Linked DNA regions of Lonchura striata. The protein of the gene in region 1 interacts with the protein of each later gene in a biochemical or structural test. Links are inferred from orthologs where the notes say so. Each region holds a gene or a part of one and is shown in the gene's direction. Other genes may lie near its edges. The genes, in order: TJP1, JAM2, claudin-4-like and CLDN2.

Region 1 (7,760 bases):
CTTTATTTTCCAATAACCCAAAGCCTTTTGTTACATAAAATGTAGAGATCTAATAATGTATCAGTAATCCTAATAATGCAAGATTAAGCTCTTGAATAATATGAGGGTTTTTTCCTCTGTGCTATAGCGAGCTTTCATCCCAAAAGCTGGGATTTCAAAATACAGCAAAGTATTTCAGATATGAGCGCCTTTTCTGAAGTTGGCTGAAAACCACTCCTATTACTACGTGGTATTAATGAACCACTTACATCATTCTGGTGTTGGTTCACGGCTTCATCTTCCTTTTTCTTTTTAATTTGATTCGCTGCATCAGCTGGATTTGCACTGGAGACTTTCTGAAAACAGTGATAATACTAAGTAAACCTCTACTATACCTTCAAGTGCTTTTTCCAGCAATCATCAAAACAAACCAAACCAAACCAGTATAATATTGGGCTAAAAAGGCAATTACAGGGAACAAGGTATATCCTCAGTACACAGACTTCTCATGGCACTTCTAAACTGCATCCTTTTGATGTTCTGCAGACACAGCAGTGCTGCTCACCAAGCAAAGTCCTCTCAACACAATTTCCCAAATTTCACTACTACAACTATCACCAGCAAAATCGCCCCAGCGAGGCCGTTGGAGCAGTGAGCAGTCTGTCCAGGGATGCTGTGGATGCCATCCCTGGCAGTGTTCAAGGCCAGGCTGGATGGGGCTCTGATCAGTCTGGTCTAGTGGAAGATGTCCCTGCCCATGGCAGGGGGCTTTAAGGTCCTTCCCAACCCAAACCATTCTATGATTCTGCGAACTCGCCGCCTTGGCGCAAGGGCAGAGACCACTGCCCAGTGCGGGCAGGCACCGCGACAGGCTTCTTCTGCTCCCGGGGCCCGGGCACAGGCGGCTCGGCCCCGTGAGCGCCCCTGTCCCGTCCCTTCCCGCCGGCGGAGGCCCGGCCGGCCCGGGGTCACCGCCCCGCCCCGCCCCGAGCGGCCCCGGCGCTACCTCTCCGCCGGCCGGGGGCTGCGCCGGCGCCGCCCGGCCCAGCTCGGCCGCCAGGCTGCGGCGCAGGTGCAGCAGGCGGTACCGCAGCTTCTCGTTCTCGGCCCGCAGCCGCTGCAGCTCGGGGCTGGCGCTGCCGGGGCACTGCAGCTCCTGCGGCTCCTTCAGCCGGCCGACCTCCGCCGCCAGCCAGCGCAGCTCCCGCTCCTGCCGCGACAGCCGGAGCTCCGCCGCCTCGGCCGCCGCCGCCGCCATGTTGGCCCCGGCGCGCTCCGCCCGCCCCGCCCCGCCCCGCCCCGCCCCGCCCCGCCCCGGCCCCGCCCCGCCCGGCCCGGCCCGGCCCGGCCCTCCCGCTGCCGCCGGAGCCCGCCCGGCGTCCCTGCCGGGCGTTCCTTTTCCCATCGCCCCTTCTGCTCATTGAGCAATCCGCTTTTTGGAGCACCTGCTGCTGTGCCGGGGATTCATCAGCCTACCTGAGGCCGGTGAGCAGCTGGGAAGTGTCGATATCTACAGAATCAGTTGGGGTGGAAAAGACCTCTGAGATCATCGAGTCCAGCCTATGACCGAGGACCGTCAAGTGGACTATGGCTTCATGTGCCACATTCAGTCTTTCCTTGAACGCTTTATTAAACAATGTCAGTGTTAAAACGTGTTGGTCAGATTGCATTCTTATTTGACTTCAATGTCAAATGAACACTGCCGGAGGTTATTTGTAGTAGATGCTTCCTGGCTGACACACTTTCTTATTAAATCAGGCTGATTGAAACTATTCAGCATCTTAGCACAAATTGCAGAACTTAGCACGAAGGTAAATAATTTGAAGAGGGTTGAGTTGCCAGATGTTAGGACTCAGAGCTTGGGAGAATTGTACAATTCCTATTGCACAGCCCAACAGTCTGCTGCATCATTTACAGGTCATTGCAGTTAAATACCTCAGTTCTTGACTCTGGGAAAAGAATAGCTCTCCATCACAAATCTTTCATATCCACCATGTACTTCCATGTATCCTTTTGTCTTAAACACTTCCTTGGCATCTTCAATTTATCTAGTTTCCTGCTTTGATTGTACTTCACACTCACTTTTCTGTGTTCAGTTTCTCAACACACATTTTCAAATTTTCACCTTTAATCTATACTCAGACTTTAAAAGCTGTGGGCTTTTATTACCAAATTGGCAATTAGCAAATCAGAATTTTAGCATTTTATTCTTCTATTTACACAGTGGGAAATAACTATATGGTTTGTGAGAAGGTAGAGAGATAAATTTTGTAACTGTGCGCCACTTGATACATTTCCTATATCACCCATTCTTTGTGATTTTAAGACTTTATAAGAACATATTTGAGGTTATAAGAATATATTCTTTTACCAGCAAAAATAATGGGGAGATTTCTGGCTCAAAACTTGTACTCCTTTAGAAGAAAAAAGTAAATTATTCAGTGCATCAAGTCCAAAGACTCTCCTATAGTGTATACTCACAAATTTTAGGTTCATATACCTCAGCAAACTGGTAACAATGCACTGTTTTCATTTGCAACAATTCTTCTTTCCTTTCCTGAAGAGGTGCAACTTGGCAACACCTTTGTCTATCCCTCACTATAGCAAGGATGTGTATCTTTGAGGTTAGATTGGCAGTTGTGAAAGTAAAACATAGTCTATAGCTTCCTTTAGAAATCTATTTTCATTATGAATTTGATAGGTTACTTGCTATTTTAATTTTTAAATTCACTACTGTGCAGAAATAATTAGTCTGCTTAGGATACTGATGACAAGCAGTGTTATCAGCACAATAGAATAAACACAGATTTGTTTTTTAAATTAAACTCTGAGAAATGTATTCAATTTATATCTTCTGTATCTCATCTTTGGGTAGTGCCTTATGAACTCAAAAACGTGTAACTTTGGGCTTGCTCTGGCATTTAGTGAAGTAAGGAAGAACTTCCCCTCTGAAGGCTGAGAAGGCTGATTCAGAGGATGCTGTCTAACATATGTGCAGTGCCAATATCCTCTATCAGGATCTTTTATTTGCTGAGATAATGTGGTGTTAATTAGTAGAACTTATGAGACAGAAACAATTTGAAGAGAGCAAAAAAATCATACTACCTCTATGAATGTTCAAAGCTAGAGGGAATTTGGAGAGTTAAAGCCTCCTTCCAAAGTCTATCTAGAAGACCTGCCAGATAGGTTGGCTACTTTCTCTGCCCTGTGCAGCTGGTTTAGCTGTGCTCCCTGGCTCGTGGTTAGGATGGCTCATGTTGGGATGGCAGCTGCTTTGCACCATCTCTGTCCCCCCAGAGGGCCCTCTGTGGTGTGTGGTGTGCAGAGCACAGGGAGCTCTACCTGAGATGATCACAGCAGCGTTATGGCCAGTAAGCCATAACATTGTAAACTGAGACAATTAATATTTCTTCAAATAAAACACAAACCCATGGTCCTTGCCCCACATGATGTGTCACACAGAGGCTTGTTGTATCTGCAAACAACCACAAGGTGACAGGCAATGCTGCCAAACAATTCCGTGAAGCCTCGCTGGCTAACTGGATGCTCGCATACACAAGAAGATTCCTGTGTTAGGATATGGTCAGTGGTCAACTTTAATGTTAACTGAATGTACTTGAACTTTAGGAAACAGAAGAAGCCTGAGAGGAGGATACCATGGTTGCAACTTAAGATTACAAGAACAGAAAATATTCTAAAACTCATTGGACTAAAAGCTTGGCAAAATATTTTTGTTTGCTCCACAACAGATAAACTACCCTTTAGAAAAGTGCAGGTAAGGTCACATGAGCAAGGCCATGGATGCATTATCAGTTGGAAGAAATAGAAAAAGAAAAAATAGACTAAGAAACAGGAAGGGGAGGCAGGAAATGTTCATAGCTTTTCCATAGAGGGAATTTATGTTGACAGAAAGTATGAAAACAAGACCGAGAAGTCCATGTACTAAGGATCATTTGCATAAGGGAGGTTATGTAATGTGTGATCCTCAATGAATGATTATCAGTGGCAGAACACCTCCACTGGGATTGCAGTAATCTCCACTGTTAAACCTGGCTCAGGAAACGAATGCTACATGATTTATTTTGCTTGGAAATGGCATAAAAATATAGACATGTAGAAATGTTGTTATTCTTAGTAGTTATGTACTTACCTTGACAAAAAAGGTCTTATTCTGTAACTTTTTTTTTTTTTTACCTTTTGCATATAGGTTTACAGAATATATATAGAAACATGCTTTCTAAATGTGTAATTTCATTCCATATTAAAGCTAATATTTTATAGAAGAACAAGAATTGGATGGTATTTGTACTGTGGTTTGGGTATGGCCTCTGAGGAATATAAAATCAAAGTGTACAAAGGATGCTTTATTTTATGTCCTGTACCAGCTTGTACAGATTATTTCCATTTGATCAGCTGTCTTCTAGAATGAATTATTTTTTGCAAAGAGATATCTTTGAAGATCAGTTATAGAATTAAAAAGTAACAGTAGCTAAGCAATTCTCAGTCTCATCATTATGGTTCAGAAGCTGTTAACAGTTGTAAAGGGCTAATTAGTGTAATGTAATCCTCTTAGGAGGCTGCAGGCATTGAGCTAGATTTCTTTATAATTTGTATGTAGGCCTTCTTCATTCCATTGGTATTACAATAATCACAGACATCAGTATGTATATGCATTCTAGCTATCCACATTATGTTGATTCTGTATACTGAATGCTGCACGAGAAATGCAGAAGTAGAATTTTCTATTTTCTATTTAAATATCAAAATGTTTGGAAGAACAGCCAAGTCTTGGTTTTACAACTGTGCAAAATCTACCAGAAGAGAAAATGAAAACAGGAGTAAGTGGCTCTCTGAAATCCCAAGCAATCAGAGACAGAAAATACTGGAAGAGCTGGATGTGAACAAAGTGCTGTCATATTTGGTTTACAAGAGAGTCTTTTCCTTGGAGGAATACAAAGACATTTGGTCTCAGGAGAGCTACAAGAAGAGAACAGAATATTTTCTAGATAAACTCTATTTAAAAGGCCCAGGTGCTTTCTCTGCCTTTTGTTCCATTTTGGAGGAGGTCTCTCCTAACTTGCTGACATGTTTTCTCCTTGGCTATGAAGGTAAGGTCACTGCTCTGAAATGCTTAAGTGTATATTGGTAATGTCTTGCAATCCTTTGACACTAATAGTTATTTGCTATAATTAGTGTTTACTTTCTCTCTTGCACTAAACCAGAGATAGTATTTACTACCTTTATGGTTTTTAGTTATGAAATAAAAAATAATTAGGAGAAAAAAAATCTTAAATATATTTTATTGTTATACTTAGAACATTTAACCTGATAAAATGCTGAATACTCAAATTGCTGCTATTAATAAATGAAAGTCAGGATGGTGAAAAGGATTTCTAGGTATTACTGATAACGCTTAGATGAGAAATGTAACACTGATTATTTACGTTCCTTACGCTTTCTGAAATATTTAAAAATAGATTGAGAAGTTCTGTAGGCAAAAACCCGAGTAAGTGATCCCGTTCACATTTTTCTTGTTAGTTATTGTATCTGTCTGTAAACAACTGTGTGAAAAAGGGTTGAATTCCTAAATATCAACAATACGAGTGAAATTAATCAAATAGTGATTTGGCCATCAGGCACCAGCCGTACTTATTTGCGGAACAATATTTTGCTAGATATTAGCAAAGGTAATGTGAAAAATGCGTAGGGTGCTTACAATTATATCTTACTGACCTATTTTTATTTTTTGTGTCTGTTATATTCTAAATTTCAGTCTATCAAGTCAACTAGAGTTTTTCTCAGCAATGACTGCAGGGTTGTGCTCAAAGGTTATATAGGGAATGTCCTTTTAGAATGTAATTAAAATAGTCACATCTTTCACTGATCTATTCAGTACCAGGTTTAAGCAACTTAAAATTACAAGTATTTATAAATAAAATAAGTCTGAGTCCTGTAAAAAACATTAATAAACTAAATATGAAAAAATTTGAAATATAAAACCATTTTGACCTTTGAAATAACTAGATTGTGCCCTCTCTTGACAGCCTGATTACTTTTAAAATTGACAGTTGGAGTTCTAATTACATGAGAAAGCAACAGACATTTTACCCTAATTTAATTATGAAAGATGCCCATTTAATGTAGCTTTTCAAGATCAATTTACAATAAGGTTTTATGGCAGTAACAAGAAAATCAAAGGATGTTGCTGGGGAATTTAATACATGTACAAAATACTTCACAGACTACAATGCTATAAAAAAAGCTACCTAGGCCCTCTTTTCACTATCTTTTTTTTTTTTTTTAAGCATAGAAATATAAATACAATTGATTATAAATACATTATAAAGCCAGGTCTTTTGGAATACACTTTTTGGAATGAAAATTTGGGCTTCCTCTGATTTAACTGAAGAGACAGTGCAGGGAGGGTTTTTATTCTATGCCATCTAAATAGATCATGCAGGGGCCTGTCACAGAACAGATTTCAGTCTTCCAGTGGGTACAAGGTTTGGGGGTAGCACTGCTCTAAAGGGGATGGCCTCAGCAGAGGAGTGCAAGTCAAGGACTCTGTCTCCCTGACAACATCACAGGAGATACAGAGAAAAAGGAGAAAGCAAATGCCACACATTTCCAAGAGTAAAGGATACTGTTGGAACAGCATCCCAATCCATTCTGTCTGTGCCTTGTGCAGGCAGAAAAATGCCTCAGGCTGCCTTAGCTCAGCCACTATTACACTCTTTCTTCCTTCCCCTCCCCCAGTAGTGCTTATCAAATATGCAAAGCTAGTTTTAGAATCTGCTTTTGCTAGTAATAATTGACTGGATAACAGGCAAAGAAAAACACATGCTATATATACACATTAATTCATGCAAATAATCTGTTTAAATTCATGCACACATACATTGCAGATTCAATTAAAATGCATTATGTGTTCTGGCATTGTGGATTTTTATAGATCAATTTTGATAAACCGTGTTACAAGGTGCACAGAAAGATGTGATGAAAAAGAACATTGTTCATTATTTCCATTACCATAATTTTCTTCTCCATCCTCTAAAAGCTGACTGATAGGGCAAAGGAATCAAGAGGAAGGAATGCAGTCTAGATGCATGACGAGAAGCTGCTATGCCTGTGCTATGTGGCATCAGCACTACCAGAGCAGTGCCATCCTGCCCACTGTACTTGTTAAAGACACTCTTTGTGGAAGGCTGACTGAGCACACAGAATAGAATCAATTCCTGTTATTGATCAGCTGCATGTACAGTGGGACCAGTTTCTGTTCTCTGGACCTGTCCCTGTTGGCAGATATGGTTATTTTAATGGGTTTCCATTGTCTGCATGCCCTACAGAAAGGACCATTTGACAGGTGCTGGAAATGTGGCATGACTCCAAGAGGTCACTCAGGCTGTGGATTAATGTGGCTCACTGCAAGTACTGTGAACTGTGCTAGTGAAATGTGGCCACCGAAGGATATACTGTTGCTTGCACATAATTGTTTTAATACTTTGAACTCTTTCACCTCATAATTTCCAATAATTACCCTCACAGTAACTTAAGTGGCGTTATAGCCCCACTGATGCATCAAGATTAGTGACTTGATTAGTTTACTTACAATTCTTCCTATAATATAAAACAAAGCCCCTAGTGATTTCATGCGGAGAAACAGTTGGTTACTACTTGCCCATATGATACAATAGAAAGTCAGCTCTTCATTGGCCAGGAAGAAATTTACATGGAGTAAGACTTTTTATTATTTCCAAATTTCTATAAATAGTCTGACCTAT
Region 2 (7,501 bases), on another chromosome or scaffold:
ATAAATCAGGTATAAAAAATAATAAAATGCCACAGAACTCAAAAGGAGACAAGGCCCTGGTGACAGGCAGGGGAGTGGCAACCATTAAAGCAATACCCCAGGACATTGTAAAAAACCAGGTGCCATGATAACTAAAATTGCAAAAGAAAATGTGTCCCTTAAATTGGAAATATCAGCCTGTCCCCACATATGGTTGTTGATTATTCTTTACACTAAAGGGCAAGGCTTTCAAGCTGATAGATTCAATGTACTGCAGGCTGGCAGTTAAAGCTGCATAAAAAATGCATAGTACATCAATATACAGACTTTAGGAAAAAAAATATGATATTGATTGTAAAATATGCGTATTGGCAATTGAGCTAAATTAAATGGAGTCTGTTTTAGCAGTTTTACAAAATAATTTTCCATCAACTTATCCCATAGCTATGCCTGGAATCACATCAGAATGGTCACTTCACAGCTGTGTGCTACTGTATTCAGCATTTATTAGAGCAAATATATGTAACAACAATTTAGTGTGCTGAGAAAAAATATGTACAGAGATCTTATGCACAGGCTGTGGCACCAAATCTCAAATGGCACCTCTGACCATCTCAAACATAACATTTCTCTTTTTAGAAATATGGAAAAATCTGTTTCTTCTTTGTTAAATATGGAAGCATATTCTAAGGTGTCTTCTTGATCAAAGCCTGAACCATGTAAGTTCCAATAACAGTGAGCTCTCAAGTGTCCATATAAAGAATGATAGGCATGATTATTCACAGGAACACTTTTTTTCTGTGTCTTTCATTTTCTCCCTTTGTGGCTCCATATTCTACATCTTCCCCACTGCTACTCTTATCATTATCAGGCACGGTTGTCTACAAACTTGCTGGGTTATCTTCTATTATAGATGAACCAAGAGACACTAAAACATTTAAAGAGCAATCATGGTAGGAAAGCACAGGAAGAAAAAGGGAAAGCAGCACAGAACTGTAATCCTTTATGCTTTCACTGGCATTTCACTCTGCAAACAAGAGAACTGCTACTTCCAGATCACCACATATCTATACTACCTGCTTATCAGTGGGGTAAAAATATGTGCTTTCTTACATGGAATGAGGGTTGCATTATTTAATCTTCTTAAATTCAATGAGTAAACTTGAGATATGCCTGAATGTGACAGACTAGGGAAACATTGTCATTCATTAAACTTCTTTCTAAAGTTATTTTTAATGGCAGTAAAGGGATGAACATTCATTATCTCTTCTAGTCTGGCATGTGTAAGGCATAACAAAGAAGAGATTCCATAGAAATTAGCATCTTACTCTTCAAGGTGCTAATTAAGCAGCAAGTTTTCTTCATGTACTGCACTGCTTCACCACTTCTGCCCCTCTTCTATGCAGGTTTTTGAGAAGCGGAATCAGTCATCTTCCTTGGTAATCTATCTGTGATAGATTTGAGTATCTACATTGCAAAACTTTTGCAACCAAATTTAGCAGTTCTAATTTGTTATACTGATTTTTTATTGTTGTTATTTTACATCAAAGCTATTCTAGAAATCAGCGTGTTAATTGCAGAAGAATAAATCTAGAGAGGTTTTATTCCCCTCTGCAAAATAAAATACATTTTGAGTAGAGAAATCACCAAAAGGAGGATTCTATAACTTAATTTCTCTTTATTCATTTTTAGCATTATATAGCTAGGAAAGATAAAATGTTTCCCAAGTGAGGAGCCAGAGGCTTATGGTCTTTCACTGAATTTTTACAAATTATTTTTCAAAACAATTTTTCTGTTAGGTGAGAACAGAACTCTTCAACTGTGTGTCACAGACTGAAGTGGTTCATGCCTTAAACATTGTTATGAAGGAGTTTTGCCCATTATAGCAAAAACTATATTCCTGGGATTGTAACAAGACATCCAAATCTTGAAATCATGTTGCAATTACACTCAATTTTTCAAGGCTTTTCTATACAAAGAACTTGACCAGAACAGCTATCACAAAGTAAGATAGTTATTGTTGATTAGCATTTTGTGTGCAGATGTTAATTATAAACTATTTTTATTATTCTAAAAAGGAGTGTCTGTGGTAAGTTCTCCAAGAATATCTGTTAAAGTGAGCATCTCAAACAAATTCTTCCATTTTGGGCGCTATGTGTTATTTGATGAAAACATTTCTACTCCAACTTTAAAAGGTAAAAAATATGGATAGCAGTCTTGTGCCCTTCTAACAAAGTACTTAACAGTATTTTTAAGAATACAATTGTTGAGCAAAGTACATAGAGAAAAAGTGTATATATTACATGAACTATATGTATTACAACCATTTTTCCAGTAATTCTGTAAGTGCCTTCAAAATACTATCATTTAATTGCTGGTGTTTCCTGTAGTAGTATAAAGCAAGTGGAAAAACCATAATCTAGCCATTGCTGAAATAAAAGAAGAGAATGAAAAGAAAATATGAACTGTACAAAAAACAGAGAAATGTGGGGGAAACACTAGGAATTTGCTTCACTTGCAAGAGAAATAAAATAGTGAACAGAAGAAAGGAACTTTAGTCTGACCTCATGCTTGAATGGATTTGCTCTAGTATAAGAGCTGCATTAATGAATCACAGAATCACAGAAAGCTTTAGGTTGGAAGGGACCTTAAAGTCCATCTCATTCCACCTCCTGCCATGGGCAGGGACACCTTTCATTGGACCAGGTCGCTCAGAACACTTGAACACTTGAGCCTTGGACACTTCAGGGATGAGTCAGCCATAGCTGCTCTGGGCAATCCATGCCATCATGCTCACTGTAAGGTTTAAGTTTATATATAAACCTAAATTTTCCTCTTTCAGTTTGAACCCATTATTCCTTGTCCTGTCACTACATTTTCTGATGAAGATTCCCTCTCCTGCCTCCCTTCAGATACTAGAAAGCTGCTGTGAGTTGTCCATGCAACCTTCTCTTTTCCAGGCTGAACAATCCCAGTTCTCCCAGCCTCTCCTCCCAGCAGAGCTGCTCCATCCCTCTGCTCCCCTCGGTGCTCCTCTGGCCTGGCTGCAGCAGGTCCCTGTCCTTGCTGTGCTGGAGCCCAGAGCTGATGCAGCCCTGCAGGTGGGGTCTCAGCAGAGCGGGGCAGAGGGGCAGAATCCCCTCCCTGCCCTGTTGCCTACTGGATTTTGGATGCAGCCCAGCACAAGGAGGGGTTTTGGGGCTTCCAGCACACACAGCCTGGGCATGTTAGTTTTTCATCAGCCATCAGTATTAATAACATCCTATATTGCCTATCCTTTAATTTCATTCCATACTGCCATTTCTTAACATTCCCCATGTTTATAACTTTTCCACCAGACTCTTGCCATATTTAAATGTTATATCAAGACAACATTTCCGTCATTGTCTGACTAAATAGTAAAGCAGTTCTACTGAAATCAATGAACCTTTGTACTTGCCTAAAACTATGATGTGCTGGGACACACAAAAAACTTTTCTGTTTTCAATGGGACAGTTTTGATTTTATAAAATGCATGTCATGATACCAGTAATGTATACTGGACAGACATACATACATACATATATGTATGTAGATCTTTTAAAAGAAATATTACTTGTGTTCTGTATACATTTTTTTCCACGTGAAAAATAAACTAAGATTTTGCCATGAAGAGCATCATGGTATCCTACTTCCTTGTTCTCCATTAAAATAGCTGTTAGAGATTTTATTTATAAATGATCTTTCTTCATTTTCTTGCTTTCTAACAAAATATAGCCATCATTGATGTTCTGATTACCAAAAAAATTACTTGTGATACTTTTCTTGTTATAGAATTGCTTTACATCAGTGGTAATGCATTTTTAAGATGTGACTGGAAACTACTCAGAGACACTATCCACTGTCAAGATGAGTAATTTTCCTTGATTCATAAATTTAAAGAACTATTACACCACCTGTATATTTAACAAAAAACTCTCATAGTCTGGTATAAAATAATAACATAATAAAAATATTTTGAAGGTCACCGTGTAACCAACCCATCTCCTGCTGTAGGTGGGATTCTGTCCAATCCAGCTGTATAGACAGGCACACAAGGAGTCACTGTGACTTCTTTCGCCTTAAAACAGCGCCTCGCCCTCACATGGCTTTTTTGTTAGCCGGAATATCCAAGTGTTTGTTCCGTGACTTCACCCCGTTATCCCTACTTCCTCCCTGAGAGGATTTGCCTGAAGGGAAACGCGCCGACAGGGACAACGCTCTTCTTAGAGACATTCAATCTTTTCCTAACGAAAAGTTTATTCTGTTGCAACAAATGTCCTTGAGTTTATGAAGATGTCACAGCTTAAAAAGGAACAAAACGGAGACAAGAACTGCTGTATTCAACACCCCAGAGCCCCGGGGATGCGCGGGGGCATTGCGGGGGCGGTGGAGGAGAGGGATGCTCCCGGAGCCGCATCCCGCCGCGGCTCCCCGCTGCCGGGCGGGCGGGCGAGCGGGCGGGTGGCCAGGGCACATCCCCGCCCCGGTTCCTGCGCTGGGAGCGGGGAGACGCCTCCTCGGACACGTTAAAAGTTTGAGGCGGCTCCGGCTCCGGAGGAGGCAGAGCGCGGCCGCGCACGGCAACAGCTCCGCGGGCGCGGAGCCCCCGGCGCACCGGGCACCGCCCCACGCCGCCGCCGGTACGGGAAGATGGCGAGCCGCAATCCGCGCCTGCTGCTCCTCCTTTTCGTGGGGTTCTTCAGCTGTAAGTGCCCGCGTCCCTGTCCCACGGGGCCACCGCGCCCCGCCGCCCCGGCCAGCTCCCTACTTGCGGGGCTTTCCGACCCGCCACGCCGCCGGGCTGTGCGGGGGACGCTCCCCGCGGGATCTTTACGCGTGTGTTGAGGCGGATGGCTCCTGGAGGTGCCGCTTCCCCTCCCTCATCCCGGGGCGAGAGCAGCCAAATAGCGTTTCCAGGAGCGAAACGCAAACGAGCGCGTCCCCCGCCACACGCATTCTTTCCGTGTGTCTTTCCATGGTTTCGCTCGGATGTAACCTGTTAAAGGCCGGCCTGGTTAAGTGCGAGTCAGCGGCCGTCTGCCGCCGTGCAAACTTTAGGATGCGGGCTGCATACTTTGTTTTTCTGGCCTTTACAAGGTGAATGAACGAGGGGCGGGAGCGCGTTTTCTGTTGCCAGCGCTGGATGCTGCATCTTCGGAACAGTTCTTGAGTTTCCAGTATTTTTATGCTCCGAACTCCTTAAAAATAAAAGGTTAAGGTTACAATAAGTTGAGCAAAGATTCCCCAGCCAGAAAGCACGCATAAATAATAGGAAAAAGCAGATATGTGCAGCACATACCTCCGGAGAGCCACTGAATTATCACACTGTTAGTAGTGCCAGTTGTGATAAGGCTGTCACTTTCAGATCATGTCTTCTTACAGTGCTTCTATTCTATGCTTTTTGTGTCTTACTGATGTTTGGGGAAAGGGCTGTACATGAAAATAGTGTTTTGAAAATATTTATGTTGCACCATCTTCCAATGAAATGACCACCTAGGACCAGCCCAGGATGGGTTCTCAATCCACTGTAGATGTGGAACATCCATGGTACTGATGCTGGGTATATTTTGAGGTTTACCTTTCATTCCTCTTAATAGAACATTACCTAACAAAAAGCTTTGTGTATATAAGCTTCCCCCCCCTTTTTTTTTTTTTTTTTTTTTTTTCAGAGTCCTGCAGTGGAGATATTTGAAGTTATGCATGTCTAATAGGTCATTGGCTTGGAATTTTTTTTTCCCCTCTCTTTTTTCTCCTACAAGACCTTATGGAAATGTTGGGCTGTTAAATGAACAGCTAGTGCAGAAATTCTCTTTCTCATAGTAACTAATAATAATAAACAACATGGCTTGCCTTTTGGTTTTTTTTTTTTTTTACTTTATTTCTTCTTAATTTCATTATATATCTGAGCAGGTGAAACTGCTGTGATTTTTTTTTTTTTGGTGACAGATTTCAGTGTGTTCAGGCTGCTCAGCCTTCTGGTTAGTTGTCTGTTGGCAGTGCTGGCTTTGACTGCTAAGGAAATGATAGAGCGTGCAATACAGTGCATCAAAGTCTGCTGCCTACATCGTTATCAGACTTGAAAGTTTCTTCTTGGTGGGCTTTTTTTTTCCCCTTACTGTCCCAATTCCAAAGAAACACTAGGTGGAAAGCAAGTTTACAAGAAAGGTGCTGATAAGAAGTCCTTTCATTCAGAAAGTGATTGTAGGTGCATGAGTGTGCAAATGCCTACTGTTTGTGGGAGTCAGAGGAAACCCAGGAAGAAATCCAGGAACCAGAAGTCTGCTGCTGCTCCTGTGGCTGGAATGTGTTTACATGAACAGTAAGGCTGAGTAATTCAGGTGTCCAAGCCACCTGAATGGGCTGAGCAGTCTCTTATGTGGGACCCATGTGCTCTGGAGATGGTGGAGAATGGGCAGAAACTAGTGAGGAAAAGGAAGTAGTGATACCTCACAAGCAGCATATGGGTAACGTGGCAAGAGGACACACCCTCAGGCTGAGTCAGGGGAGGACATCAGGAAGAACATGGAAAAGGTTGTTAAGCATTGGAATGGGCTCTCAGGGAGGTGGAAGGGTCACCATCCCTGGAAGTGTTCAAGAAACAACTGGATGTGGCATTCAGTGCCCTGGTTGTGAAAGTGCTGATTGGTCAAAGGTTGGACTCAATGGTCTTAGAGATCTTTTCCAGCTTAAATGGTTCTGCTTAAATGGTTCTGTGGAGCAGGTATAGAGAACTTTCTTGGTAGCTGCAGAAATTAAAAGCTGTGTAAGTTGGTCACAAGGCATCAGCATAGCCAAGGTAGATGATGTTTGCTTTTCATTGGGAACTTGCTAAGAAATAGTCATGCAGAAATTGTAGTTTCTGTGAGCTAATCATCCCTTCCACCTTTAATTTATGGAAACTAAAGAAGCTGGGAGTCTTTAATCATGTTCTCTTTCAGCACAGGCTTCTGGAATTGACATCTCAAAGTTGAAAAAGGTGCCGCAGCGTAAGACTTGTGAGCTCTGTTGGCAAGACAGAATATGTACAGAAAATGTTATTAACCATCATGGCTTCATGGGAGGAGATAGTATGTACTGACCAAATGGCCTTTCTGAGAAGCATCCAGGTGTGATTTTTCTTAATATTTGTGCACACTGAAATGAGCCTTCAGCTGGCGATGCTGGAAGCAAATGCAGTACAATATGTGTGTGAGAGGACAGTGCAGAGGCAATAAATAGTAGTCTTACCTAAATATTTGATGGAGCTCACTGGGGTAGTTTGAGAAGTAAGTAAGGTGATATTTTGTTTATTTTTTTCTGGCTTAAGAAAACCCCACTCCTTAATTCTCAGAAACCTTTCACTCAGATACAGAGATTCTAGACCAAAGAAGCCTTTTGTTTCTTTTCCCCCCCAACCCCAACAAAAAAAATCATAAAGCTGACTGCATTGCTGTAGGAAGTGACAGTGGAAGTGTTTAAACTATGCTTTCTTGACTATATGTGAGAGACAACTGATGTACTC
Region 3 (6,087 bases), on another chromosome or scaffold:
CAGAGACTCACCAACAGGTTCACAGACACACACAGACTCACGGACACAGATTCAGACAGACACACACACACACAGACTCACAGGCAGGCTCAGGCTCACACACACAGACTGACAGAGGCAGAAGTGAACAGGCGGTGGTACAGGTGCACACATACACACCCTCCCCCAGTGCACATGAGGCTGCAGGGCTGTGGGCAGGGGTTCCCCTGGCAGGGCTCTGGACCAGGAGGGGACCCCAGGCATGGCTGTAGGGTGTGGGGATGCCCCAACCAGGGCTTTGGGGCAGGGTCATACCCCAGACAGGGCTCTGGGAAAGGAGGTTGGCACCCCAGACAGGGCTGTGAGGCACAGGAATAGGGGCAGGGCTATATCCCCAGGTTTTTCGAACAGTGGGCATACTCAATAGCGGGTATATGGGGCAGGGGAGATAACCCGCATAGGAGTGGGAAGTAGGAGAGAGGGATACCTCTGGATAGGGATATGGGACAAGGAGGATGTTCCAGGCAGGGCTGTGGGACAGGAGAAGAGTGGGATACTCAAGGCAGGTATATGGGATAGGAGCTACTGGGGCAGAGCTGGGGTGGGACAGGGCAGTGAAACATCACAGCCCCCGACCCTGCAATCAGAGCCCCACATGTGGCGTCCCCACTTTGTCATCCCAAATTGCCCAAAATACAGGCTGTGTCCGGTGTCGTGCCAGCCTGGGGCAGCTGCTGCTGCCTGACTCACGACGGAGGAAGGGGCAAATCACCGGGGTTTCGGGGTGCCGGCCACCCCCGGCAGGACACATTCTTGTGGTGAGCAAAGCAGCTCACTAGTGTTTACTGAGGAGCTGAGCAGGGCCAGCGTTCCTGGGGGATTCCTGAGAGCACCCCCATCCCAACTGCTACATCTCCCTCCCCGCTGCGGTCCCTCTGCACCCCCGCACAGCCAGGGAGGGATGAGGAGTATCCGAGTCCCTGGGGATGGGGACAAAGTGTGGTGGCTGCAGGAACTCTGAGGTGACACGGGGACAGGTTTGCTCCACTGCGATGCAGAGACCCCAAACAAATGCCAGACGCGAAGGTCACGGGAGCATCACCCTTTTGGTGGCTCCAAAGGAAGGACACCTGCGCTGACAGGGGGGGACACCCACTGCAGCATCCCCATCCATGCAGCCGGCAGCACCCCGGGGTGCGCAGGAGGTGACGGCAGAAACCGCCCCGGGCGCCGCGGGGCCGCGTCCCACTCACGCGTGCGGCGGGGCCGGGGTGTTCCCCGCCGCTGCGGTCGGATGCCGGCGCTTTTTCCCCCGGGGGAGCGGGGCCGGGGCGGTAAATGCCGCCTCGGCTGCTTATATTTCAGGCGCGGGGCTGCTGGCTCTGCCCCGGCCAGGGCACACAGGCAGCCCATTGTTGGAGCCCCTTCGGCGCGGCGGGAGCAGGTGAGGCGGCTCCGAGCATCAATGGCAGCTCTGTGTGCCGGCGGGGCGGGGAGGCGGCTGCGGCACACGGGGGCTGGGGGCGGCGGGGGACATGGACCGGCGGGATGTGTCAGGGGGCTGGTGGTTCTGAACCATGCCTGGGGCTTCCCCACCCGGACAGATCTGATCGTCTTCCCCAGGGCTTTGCCGTGGCATCCCGCTTCCTCCGAGCATCACCCGTGGGGAGCTCCCATTGCACCTCCCGAGACCCCCTTCCTGATCCACCATCTCCCCCATACCTTCGCCAACACCTTGGCAGCACTTAGGGGTGTTTTCCCTGTTGGGAGCCACTTGTTGCATAGAAACCGGACAGAGTTTTGAGTTTCAGAGCGACTTCAGGCCGAAGGTCCCTTCTCTCCCTGCTGGAGACCTGCAGGGACCCCACAGGTCCCGGCGCACGGTTCCCCTCCTGATAAGACTTTGCTTTCCCATAGCGATAAACAACCTGACTGTGCATATTTGAGTCGGTCGGAGGGATTTAAGTTGGGCAAGGATGTTATTTGGGAACATTCAGTCTCTGGGCTGTCGGTAACTAATCCTCGGCCTCCAGCGGGGAGAAGCTGCCCCACTGCTCAGAGGCTGAGTGGGAGGGTTATTGGCCGTGCCTTGCTCAGCAGATGTGAAGCCAGAAATCCCGGTGGATCATCGTTTGCTGGCAAGTCTCACCTGCCTCTCTGGGACCTTGAGGTAGCCAGGTTGGTGGGTCCATATGTGGGTCCTGGGGGATGAAGGGCTCTTCCCTCCTCAGTGGTGTGGGGTATGTGTGGTGGGACTGACACCCATGTCGTGGGTGGGGATGTCCCCAAGCCCTTTTTGGCAGGAGATTCATGCCCCAAGCCCTCTCCCTGCAGAGTTTCCTCCACCCTGAGCAAGGCCAGGGTAACACAGCCTCTGCTGTTCACCCAGCAGTGCCTGGCATTGTGGTGACACTGCGTTTAATGTCACCTTTGTGCCTGGGAATGGCCTCACTGCTCAGCTGAGGGGCTGCAGTGTGTCCCCATGCTGGTGAACCCAGGGAAAGTGTCAGAAGGTGTTTCCTGATGGATGTGCCAGAACGGGAGCTCTGCCTTCACACACCATCTTAGTGCAGTGTAACAGGGATGGGAGCCCTGGCTCCTGCATGTCCTTCAAATCCCACTGCATTTGGGGCAAGGCATCTACACCTGAGTGGGTGCTGGGACAAGTGCTGTGTGGTGAAGGCTCAGGATGGGCTGAATGTGTTGAGCAGCCTGTTTTGGGGTAGAGGAGCTTCCTGCTGAGCAACTGGGCTGTGGTCCCACCAGGACATGTGCCTGTGCCATGGTTCCTTGCAGCTGACACTGGGGAAAATCTGGGTTGGGGTCCTACAGGAAGCACTGGGAATTAGCATTGGGACAGGGCTGTGGGGCTGGTGTCCATGTGGGGCTGGTGTCTGTGGAGTGCTTGTCCTGGATGGCATGTTCTGAGGTTCTTGGTGGTCCCCCTATGCTGCACTACCATCCTCAGGCTCCAAGGGCTCTGGGGTTGGCTGCTGCTCCTCCACGCCAAGCTGGTGTCTGACGGTCCTGCTGTCCGGCAGTGCTGGGGACACGGGGCTGGCAGTGCGGGGGACACGGGGCTGGCAGTGCTGTCCGGGTGGGTGTGTCACTTGGGAATGTGGGGCAGGGCACAGGGGCTGCCCCTGTGTGGCAGCTGCCAGGTGGAAGATATGTCACGTTCCAGCATTAATTACAGTCATTGGCTGTCACAGGCTGTGCTGGCGCCTGCTCTGCCTCCGAGGGGGAGTATGAACAGCTCAAGTTTTGATGCTCTGTGCGCGAGGGAATCCCTGTCCCCACCTTGCCATTTGTCCCCAGCCCACAGACATGTCCCCACGTGCCTGCGGGGACACGGCTGCTGTGAGCCACACACACATTTGGGCGTGTGCCTCTCTCCAACCCCAAATAAGGCAGTGGTTGCAGCAGCCGGCTGGGAGGTGAAAGCCTCAGGCAGGGTCTGGCCCCGGCGGGGATGCTCCGGAGCTCTGTAGATTAAAGGGAACCCTTGACCACAAGGTTCTGGCTGCAGGCTGGACACACTGGTATGTGAGCAATGCGAGCATTCCAGCAGGACAGAGGGACGGACCTGGGCAGCTCCACTGGCACAAGTCAGGCAGGCAGGACCATGACCATCTCCTTAGGTTGGGGTCTGCTGTGAGACATGTCCCCAGACATCCTCCTGGCACTGCGGTGCATGGGCCACCAGGCTTGTCCCACCACACTGGGACATGATGCCCAGGGACATCCTGGCATGAGCAGTGTCCCTCGCACCAAGCAATAAGCACAAATGGTTGGATCATGATGGTAACCCCAGTGCTCAGGAAAACTAAGATTATCTCCGTTCTTCTTATCTTTTCCAGGGGCCCAGGATTAAGCTAGGGTGATGAAACAGTGCAATGTCTGTCTGGTGTTGTGCTGTGCCTGTACAGGGGCTTGGAGGGAGCAGGGAGGGAGCCTGCATTGGAGTCATGGATTAAAAGAGGACAGGGGCAGCATCAGTATGGCATCAGTGCTGGCATCGGTATTGGCATCAGCACTGGGATCAGTGGATGTGGCTCTGGGTATGATCAGTGGGATCAGTGGGTATGGCTCTGGGGCAGCTCGAGGCCACATCTGCCCCTCACAACCCCAACCCACCTAACCCCACCATGCAGGCAGTGGGACACGGGCAGAGCTGGGGCTGAGGGTGGCTGTGTGAGCCCTGGCTTGGCACTGGAGCACAGATGAGCTGGTTTGGGGTCTGTCCCCCTGTTGCCCCAGGCAGTGCTGTCTCTCCTTTGTGGGGAACCGGCAGCCGCTCCAACCGGTTTGTTGGTCTGGGCGGTGGCACCTCCTGCCCGAGGCCTGATGGAGGGCTGGAAGTGCTGGTATGGACGCCAAGGAGCAAACAAGAGCCGCTTGTGTCCTGCTGGGCACGGAGCCCAGCAGCCGGAGGGGACAATGTGCACCTCCCTCGGCATGGGGCCATGGGGGGGCAAGAGGCCGGATTGGAGCAGTCACTATGAGCTGGAGGGAACTGAGGCATGAAAGCGTGAAGGGACCCCATCCAAGTGATGGAGCAGAGGGTTCTGGCAGGGATGGCAGAGATATCCTGGTGCCTGGACACCAGCTCTTCCCCTTTAGCATCCCAGGCTGAGCCCTAGTGCTGCCCTGGGCACGTCCTGCCTGCCCACAGCAATGGCATGCACTCCTACACCTGGGTGGCCTGATCCCAGTCCCCTGTATCCTCCTCCGTGGGAGCAACCGGGATATTAAGTGTCATCGCTGCAGGGAGAAATACAAGTGGAAGAATCCCGGGAAACTGGTTCTACCCCTCCATCCGGTGCCGGCGGCAGGCCGGCGGCTGCGGCGGCGCTCCTCCCTCGGCAAAGGCATATAATGCCTGCCATGGGCCCGGCAGCCGGCACTGCGCGGCGGGAGGCGGGCAGGGAAGCAGGCAGCGAGCGATGGCCTCCATGGGGATGCAGGTGCTGGGCATCGCCCTCTCCGTCATCGGCTGGTTGGCCTCCATCCTCTGCTGCGCACTGCCCATGTGGCGGGAGACGGCCTTTGTCGGGAACAACATCGTGGTGGCACAGATCATCTGGGAAGGGCTGTGGATGAGCTGCGTGGTGCAGAGCACGGGCCAGATGCAGTGCAAGGTGTACGACTCGCTGCTGGCCCTGCCGCAGGACCTGCAAGCCGCCCGTGCCATGGTGGTGGTGGCCATCGTGCTGGCCATCCTGGGCACCCTGCTGGCCGTCGCCGGCGGCAAGTGCACCAATTGCGTGGAGGATGACACCGCCAAAGCCAAGGTCATGATCCTCTCCGGCATCATCTTCATCGTCGCCGGTATCCTCATCCTCATCCCCATCTCTTGGTCAGCCAACAGCATCATCCAGGACTTCTACAACCCGCTGGTCTCTGACTCGCAGAAGCGGGACCTGGGCTCGTCCCTCTACGTGGGCTGGGCGGCCTCGGCGCTGCTGCTGCTGGGGGGAGGGATCCTGTGCTGCACCTGCCCTCCCCGCGGAGAGAAGCCCTACTCCGCCAAGTTCACGGCTGCTCGCTCGCTGCCGGCCAGCAACTACGTGTAGGAGCCCCCGGCCGCCCCAGGGCGCGGGGACCTCGCGGGACACCCATCCTCCCCGGCTGGGCTGGGACCGGCCGGGCGCCGGGGCGGTGCGGGGGAAGGCAGACAGAGCTGCCTTTGTTCCACCGGGCTTGAAGCCGGTTCTTTAATCTCGGTTGAGACAGGGGACAAGGAGATCTTGTCCTGGCTGTCCGCGGTGGGGGTTCTGCTCCCCCCCCCCACAGCGTCCAGCTGAGGCATCTTCTCCGAGACATCGCCTGATCTCCTCCTCGAGCATTTGCCGGCTCCCGGTATCGGGGTGTGCCATGTGGTGACACAGCTCCCAAGAGCCCGTCCCACGGGTGGCACAGGGCTCTCTTTCCCCGCGTGAAGCTCCCCGGGACGTGTCTGTCCCTCGGGGTGGGTGGCGGTGTTGGTGCTGGTAGGGACAGCAAACCTGTCCCACATGGTCACAGGGACGTAGTGGTTCTGTGAAATCTGCAAACGCCGGCAGGGTCTTGAGGGGTGACAGGGGCTGTCACCTGCCTGTTCTCTAA
Region 4 (5,650 bases), on another chromosome or scaffold:
TCTGCCTTCCCCCGCCTGTTGCCTCACACCGGCCTGCTGAGGCCGGGGCTGCCAGCTTTCCGCGGGTGTCCCGCGGTCACATCTCCTGTCGCTTCCTCCTCTTCATCATCCCTCTCTTCTTCTTCTTCCTCCTCCTCCTCCTCCTCGCTGCCCGAGTCCTCATAAAAGAAGAGGGTGGCCTGCACCGGGAAGTTCTCCAGCAGCTTCTCCCCCACGCTGTACAGGTGGTCAAAGGCCTTGGACTTGGGCCAGAGGAGCCTGTGTGGGGAGAGCCGGGGTGAGCCCCGCCCGCCGCGCCCGCCCGGCGCCCCGGGGCCCGGCACGTACCTGACCGGGTGCTGGAAGAACGGCAGCGCCTTGCCGGGACCGCCGTCCCGCTCCGCCGCCCGAGCCTGGGGAGACACAGGCGGGTGGCACCGGGCCCCGCTGCCCTGCCCGCCCCGCCGGGCTGGCCCGGGTGCCGCGCTGCCGGCAGCTCCCCCGCCCCGGGGAGGCTGGCATCCACCCCGCGCCGCCCGGCAGGCTGGCAGCCAGTGTAATCTCTGCCCCGTGCTCCAGAGCGCTGCCCGGGCATCCCGCTAAGGCCCTGAGGAATGCCCAGCCTGGGAACATTCGGGGCTGCGGGGCCCTGTCCCCCGGGGCTCGCCCTGCCCACGGCGGGTGATGCTCCGGGGGAGGCGGACACGGCACGGCCGTGGGACAAGGGACTCCGCGGGACAAAGTGAGCCTCTGGGGCGACAGGCTGGCTTTACCCAGCAGGAACCCCACGGGCGTGGGGACAGACACAGCGGGGAGTGCCAAACTCACAGCGTCCATCTCCTGCCGCGTCGCGGGTCCCTCCTGGGCTCGGGGCAGCCACGGCCTCCAGAGAGGAAAGGCTCTATGGGAGAGAGCAGCTTCAGCCCCACCGCCTCACCCGCCCGAGCAGCACCCTCCGTCCCACCCATGGCCGCTGGGATCCGAGGTGTCCCCAGCACCGCAGCCTCACCCGAGCCCAGCGGGAGCTTCCCCAGCCCCCGCCTGCCCCACTTCCCCCGTACCTCGGCCCTTGCTCCAGCCCCGGCGGGGGGCAGGCACTGGCCAGCGGCGCTGGGAGCCCGGGGGCAGCCAGGCAGCAGGCAGCAGCTTGCATGGTGGCAGGAGACGCTGTCCCTTCTGACACTGCCGAGCCTCGGTGGGGACACATTTATAGCTCAGCCTCGGCCGTGACTCACAGATTCTTTGGGGCAGGGGAACGAGGGGATGGGGCTGTGGGGACAGCAGTGTGAAATTTGTCCCAGTTGTGTAAACAGAGGGCCGGGGGGAGGCTGGGGGCGGAGGGGCTGCGATCTCTGGTGGAAAAGCAAAACACAAAAGGGAAAATTTGGACACCATTTGTGAGAAAATCCCCGGGGGGGAACAGGGGAGGGTAGAGACAATTAACAAGGATGATTAAGTGCTCTTTGTAGGCATTTGCATAAGGGATGCAGGGGAGATGGGAAAGGGATGGGGAACGGAGGGGTGGCATGATGGGTATGGGATTGGGACAGTGCAATGGGCTGAGTGCTGGGCATGCCATGGGCACAGTGTGCTGGGCTTGTGTTGGGGACAGCACAACGGGCATGATGAGGACACTGATGGGCTACAGTGGTGGCAAGCACAGAGCCACCAGGAGGCAGCTGATAGCTCCGGGAGGCTCAAGAGCAGACAGGGAGGGAGGACCCATGGCAGGGATGGACCCCAGGCACTATCAGGGCAATGGTCCTGCTCAGGCATCCATGACCCATCACCCCAGGGAGCTGCCAGATCCCATTTCCACAGATGGGAGAGCAACCACTTACCAGTGTTCCCTGCCCTTTCCTTTGAGTTTTTGAGATGTGGGCCACCCCAGGAGGTACAGAAAAGCTCCTTGATGTGAGGGTGCAAGGCTGATGCAGCCCCTGGCACCAGCAGGGCCACTCATCCCATCCCTGCCCACTGCTCCTGCCCAAGCACTCAAAGACAGTGCCACTGGCAGTCACCTCCTGCTCCTGGGAGAGTTTCAGTTTGGGACAAGGAAAGAAAATAGCAAATGGTCCCTGCTGTAGCTCTGCTATCAGCATCCAAACACCGCTGTCCAAACGCTGGCCGGACCCTGCTCAGCTCTGAGCACAATTTGTCACCAGAGGCCCTCCCTGCCCCTCTCCATCTGTGGCAGCCGGTGAGCAGGAGGGGGCACGGGGCCAGCACAGCTCTCATTACCTTCCCCATTTGCTCCTCATTTGGGCCAGTAGTCTTACAACAACAAACCCCGTGGAGGACAAGCAGGGCCAGGAAGAGTAAACCAAAAGTTCAGGCTGAGGAGTGGGGAGCTCAACCTGCTGGTGTTTCACTGCCCCTCAAACCCCAATACAGGCAGCACAGCCCAGAGTGGACACATGGATGGTGGCACAGTCACAGGCTGTCCAGAAGGATGACAGCAAGCCTCAAACCTGAACCCCAATAATTCATAGACAACCAGCAAAGCAAGGCATCCCAGCTCCCCAGTCCTTCCCGACACCCAAAGGGTTTAATTCTGATCTGCAATAAGCCTCTGATCCAGGAGATTTGCAGGTGGATTGTGCAAAGCTGTAGCTGAACAAGTGCAGCCCCTGATCCCCTGGCTGCTCACCCTGCCCCAGGCAGCCGCCTCCAGTCCTGGGTGACCCCCGGCTGCAGCCGCCCCGGGTCCCCCCCTGCACCTCCAGCCCCCTCCGTAAGTACCACAGAGCTCCCTCCCTCACTCCCTCACCTTTCTGCCGGCACCCTGAGCACCCTGAGCACCCCAGGTGTTTCTTTTCCAGCAGCTGAGATGGTGTGGGAGGTCTTGGTTAGAGCACAGGAGAGGAGACAGACAGCTGGGAAACTTTGGTGCCAACACTGGAGGTGGCGGGAGGGGGGGGCAGGAGCAGGGGTGGCCCTGGGTGGTGGCAGCATGCTCAGCCAGGAGCGTTCCCAGGGAGAGGGAGGCCACTGGCCGCAGTGCCGGGGCTCAGCCCGGTTTCGCAAGGCACCACAGAAGGAGGAATTTTTAAACAAAGCAGAGGGAAAACAAACCAACCCTTTCCACCACCTCTGCCAACCACCCCCCCCCCCCCCCCCGCCTGTGTACAGGGCTGTGGGCAGAAGGTGGCACTGACACAAAGTCCCAGCGTGAGCTGCACCCCGAGCTGCTCACCCCTCCACAGGACAGGTCACCCCGCTTGGCTGGCGAAGCATCCCGAAGGAGATGCCAGCCCTGATGTAATTCTGCCCTCTGTGGGCCTCCAGGCTCTCCTGGGGATGCAGGTGTCACTGTCACACGCATCCCTCTCCATCCTTGTCCCCAGCAGCGCAGAAAGGCTGATATCCATGGTTCAATCTCAGGTGGCCATGTCCCTTTGTCCCAAAGGAGCCTCAGCAGCTCGGGGTGGGTCCTGGGTGACTGCAGATGTCTTGGGTGAGCCCCACGCAGATGGGTATGAGGTGCCATCCCTTTTTCTCAGCTGGAGGAGCTTTGGTTTTACCACCTGAAGTCACCTCCAGCAGGTCCCAGATAAGACGGTGCAGCCACAGCTTTTCGGTTTCCTCAGCTGGAGGCAGCACAGAAGACAAGGGAGCTCGAGGAAGGCAGCGGGCACTTTCCCCCAGCAGCAGCTGGCTCTCCATCCTGCCCGCGGCGTCAGTGCAGGGGAGGGCTTTGGCGTCCTTCCTGGGCAGCCTGCTCTGCCCCCGGAGCCCGGCTGGGGAGATAGCGGGGGTGAAAGGGCGCCTGGCGCTCCCCCAGGGGCTCGGGTCAATCGTTAACGGGGAGATTTGCTTTGCTCTCCCGCAGGTAACCTCCCCGCGCTCCCACCCGCACAAAACCGGCACCCCCGGCAGCGGGGAGGAGCTGCAGCGCTGCGAGCCGAGCCTCTCCCAGGGCCATGGGAACGTGAGCACACGGGAGGGACCTGGGCCACCACCGCGAGCCTCGGCCAGGCGACAGAGCGACAGCCAGCCCCCACCATGGTGTCCATGGGGCTCCAGCTGCTGGGCTACGCCGTGGCCTTCCTGGGCTACATCGGCACGCTGACGGCCACGCTGCTGCCCAGCTGGAAGACCAGCTCCTACATCGGCTCCAGCATCGTGACGGCCATCAGCTTCACCAAGGGGCTGTGGATGGAGTGCGCCACGTACAGCACGGGCATCACCCAGTGCGACATCTACAGCTCCCTGCTCAACCTGCCCGCCGACGTCCAGGCGGCCCAAGCCCTCATGGTGAGCTCCTGCGCCGTGTCCTCCCTGGCCTGCCTGCTCTCTGTCGTGGGCATGAGGTGCACCGTCTTCAGCCAGGGCTCGCCGGCCAAGGACCGCGTGGCCGTGGCGGGCGGCGCGGTCTTCGTCCTTGGGGGGCTGCTCTGCTTCATCCCGCTGGTGTGGAACATCCACGTGGTGCTGCGGGATTTCCGCAACCCCGTCATCCCCGACAGCATGAAGTTCGAGCTCGGGGAGGCTCTTTACCTCGGCATCATCTCCTCCCTGCTCTCCCTCGTCGGTGGCTTGATCCTCTGCACCTCCTGCCCTGCCCGGGACAGCACCGCCGCCTACTCCAGCGCCTACCGGCCCCAGCTGCTGGCCAGCAAGAGCTCCCGGCCCTCTGTCAGCCAGGCGCAGAAAACCAAGAGTGAAGTCAATTCCTACAACCTGACAGGATACGTGTAGTGGCTGCAGGGGGGAACCAGGCTGGCGCCTCTCCCGGCTCCCCAGAGCGTCCGGGCTGGCACCAAGGGAGCGCGGTAAGAGCAGAGGGCACGGCGGCATCGCCCGTGCTCAGCCCTCTCATGTGCTTGGGGGACTGACCCCGCTCTCTCCCTGGGATTCTGAGAGCCTTGTGACTGCTTGGAGATCCCAGCTGGTGGCTTGCACCGGTGAGCGGCCCTGAATCCGGCTTCTGTTCTTTACCCCACGCTGCCAGCTCGCGGGCAGCTCCTGGCACGGCGGGACCCCAGCCTGCAGCCCCAGTGAACCTGCCTGGAAAGGGGAGGGGGCTTGTGGCCCCAGGTACCGGCCGCTGGCCATGCAGGCATCCCAGCAGGGCCAAGGGCATGTGCGGGGTCTGCAGTCGCTGCTGGGGGGGTGAGTGCTGGTTGCAAACCGATGTCGCAATAAATACGTCTTTCTAGCCAGACTGTATCCGGGCTTTTCTCTGGCACCGAGGGGCCAGCAGGAGGCTGTGGAGGGGTCCAAGATGTGAAAGGTGCCCCTGGCCCTTGCTCTGGCCTGCCTCCCCCACCCCACAGCGGATGGCTTTGTCACCCGGGAGCCCAGGCAGGTGGGAGCACTGCTGAAGGGGAGGAGGGCCACTCCCTGGCACAGTTTGTCCCTGGCACCACGCTGGGAGGTTGCCACGCACCACTACTGCCAGGGTGCCAGCAGGGACATGCAGAGCTCCCTGTGGGATAATAGCAGGCAGCACCTTCCCTCCGTCCCCCAGCCCTTCTTGTTTCCAGGAGTGCAGGTGTGATGAGACTGGGATGCCCACAGGGAGATTCATTGCCCCTGTGTGTGGCACACCCAGGTCCCCAGGTGATGGGCAGCCCTGGCATTCCCACATCCCCATCCCAGTGAGCACTGGCACTCCTGGGGCAAACATGATCCCAAGGACCAAAGGCAGCTCCCAGCTATGGTGAAG

Evidence for each region.
Region 2: the proteins of TJP1 (region 1) and JAM2 form a complex in vitro, tested with the Homo sapiens proteins (2 studies listed by BioGRID and IntAct, with this or other methods). The link is inferred for Lonchura striata from reciprocal best matches to the Homo sapiens genes TJP1 and JAM2.
Region 3: the proteins of TJP1 (region 1) and claudin-4-like form a complex in vitro, tested with the Homo sapiens proteins (2 studies listed by BioGRID and IntAct, with this or other methods). The link is inferred for Lonchura striata from reciprocal best matches to the Homo sapiens genes TJP1 and CLDN4.
Region 4: the proteins of TJP1 (region 1) and CLDN2 form a complex in vitro, tested with the Homo sapiens proteins (2 studies listed by BioGRID and IntAct, with this or other methods). The link is inferred for Lonchura striata from reciprocal best matches to the Homo sapiens genes TJP1 and CLDN2.

The regions. Positions count from the first base shown.
Region 1 is NC_134613.1:9,929,416-9,937,175, reverse strand, and holds the start of TJP1 (tight junction protein 1), read left to right. Parts: upstream 1-4,744; coding exon 4,745-5,087; intron 5,088-7,760. Other genes in the region: threonine--tRNA ligase 1, cytoplasmic, read right to left, coding at 249-335, 986-1,237. UniProt on the Homo sapiens protein: TJP1, TJP2, and TJP3 are closely related scaffolding proteins that link tight junction (TJ) transmembrane proteins such as claudins, junctional adhesion molecules, and occludin to the actin cytoskeleton.
Region 2 is NC_134604.1:5,387,704-5,395,204, reverse strand, and holds the start of JAM2 (junctional adhesion molecule B), read left to right. Parts: upstream 1-4,498; 5' UTR 4,499-4,650; coding exon 4,651-4,705; intron 4,706-7,501. UniProt on the Homo sapiens protein: Junctional adhesion protein that mediates heterotypic cell-cell interactions with its cognate receptor JAM3 to regulate different cellular processes. Plays a role in homing and mobilization of hematopoietic stem and progenitor cells within the bone marrow.
Region 3 is NC_134622.1:1,360,104-1,366,190, forward strand, and holds claudin-4-like, read left to right. Parts: upstream 1-4,925; coding exon 4,926-5,555; 3' UTR 5,556-5,587; downstream 5,588-6,087. UniProt on the Homo sapiens protein: Can associate with other claudins to regulate tight junction structural and functional strand dynamics.
Region 4 is NC_134616.1:18,447,068-18,452,717, forward strand, and holds CLDN2 (claudin-2), read left to right. Parts: upstream 1-3,854; 5' UTR 3,855-3,984; coding exon 3,985-4,680; 3' UTR 4,681-5,144; downstream 5,145-5,650. Other genes in the region: protein ripply1, read right to left, coding at 24-258, 328-392, 808-816. UniProt on the Homo sapiens protein: Forms paracellular channels: polymerizes in tight junction strands with cation- and water-selective channels through the strands, conveying epithelial permeability in a process known as paracellular tight junction permeability.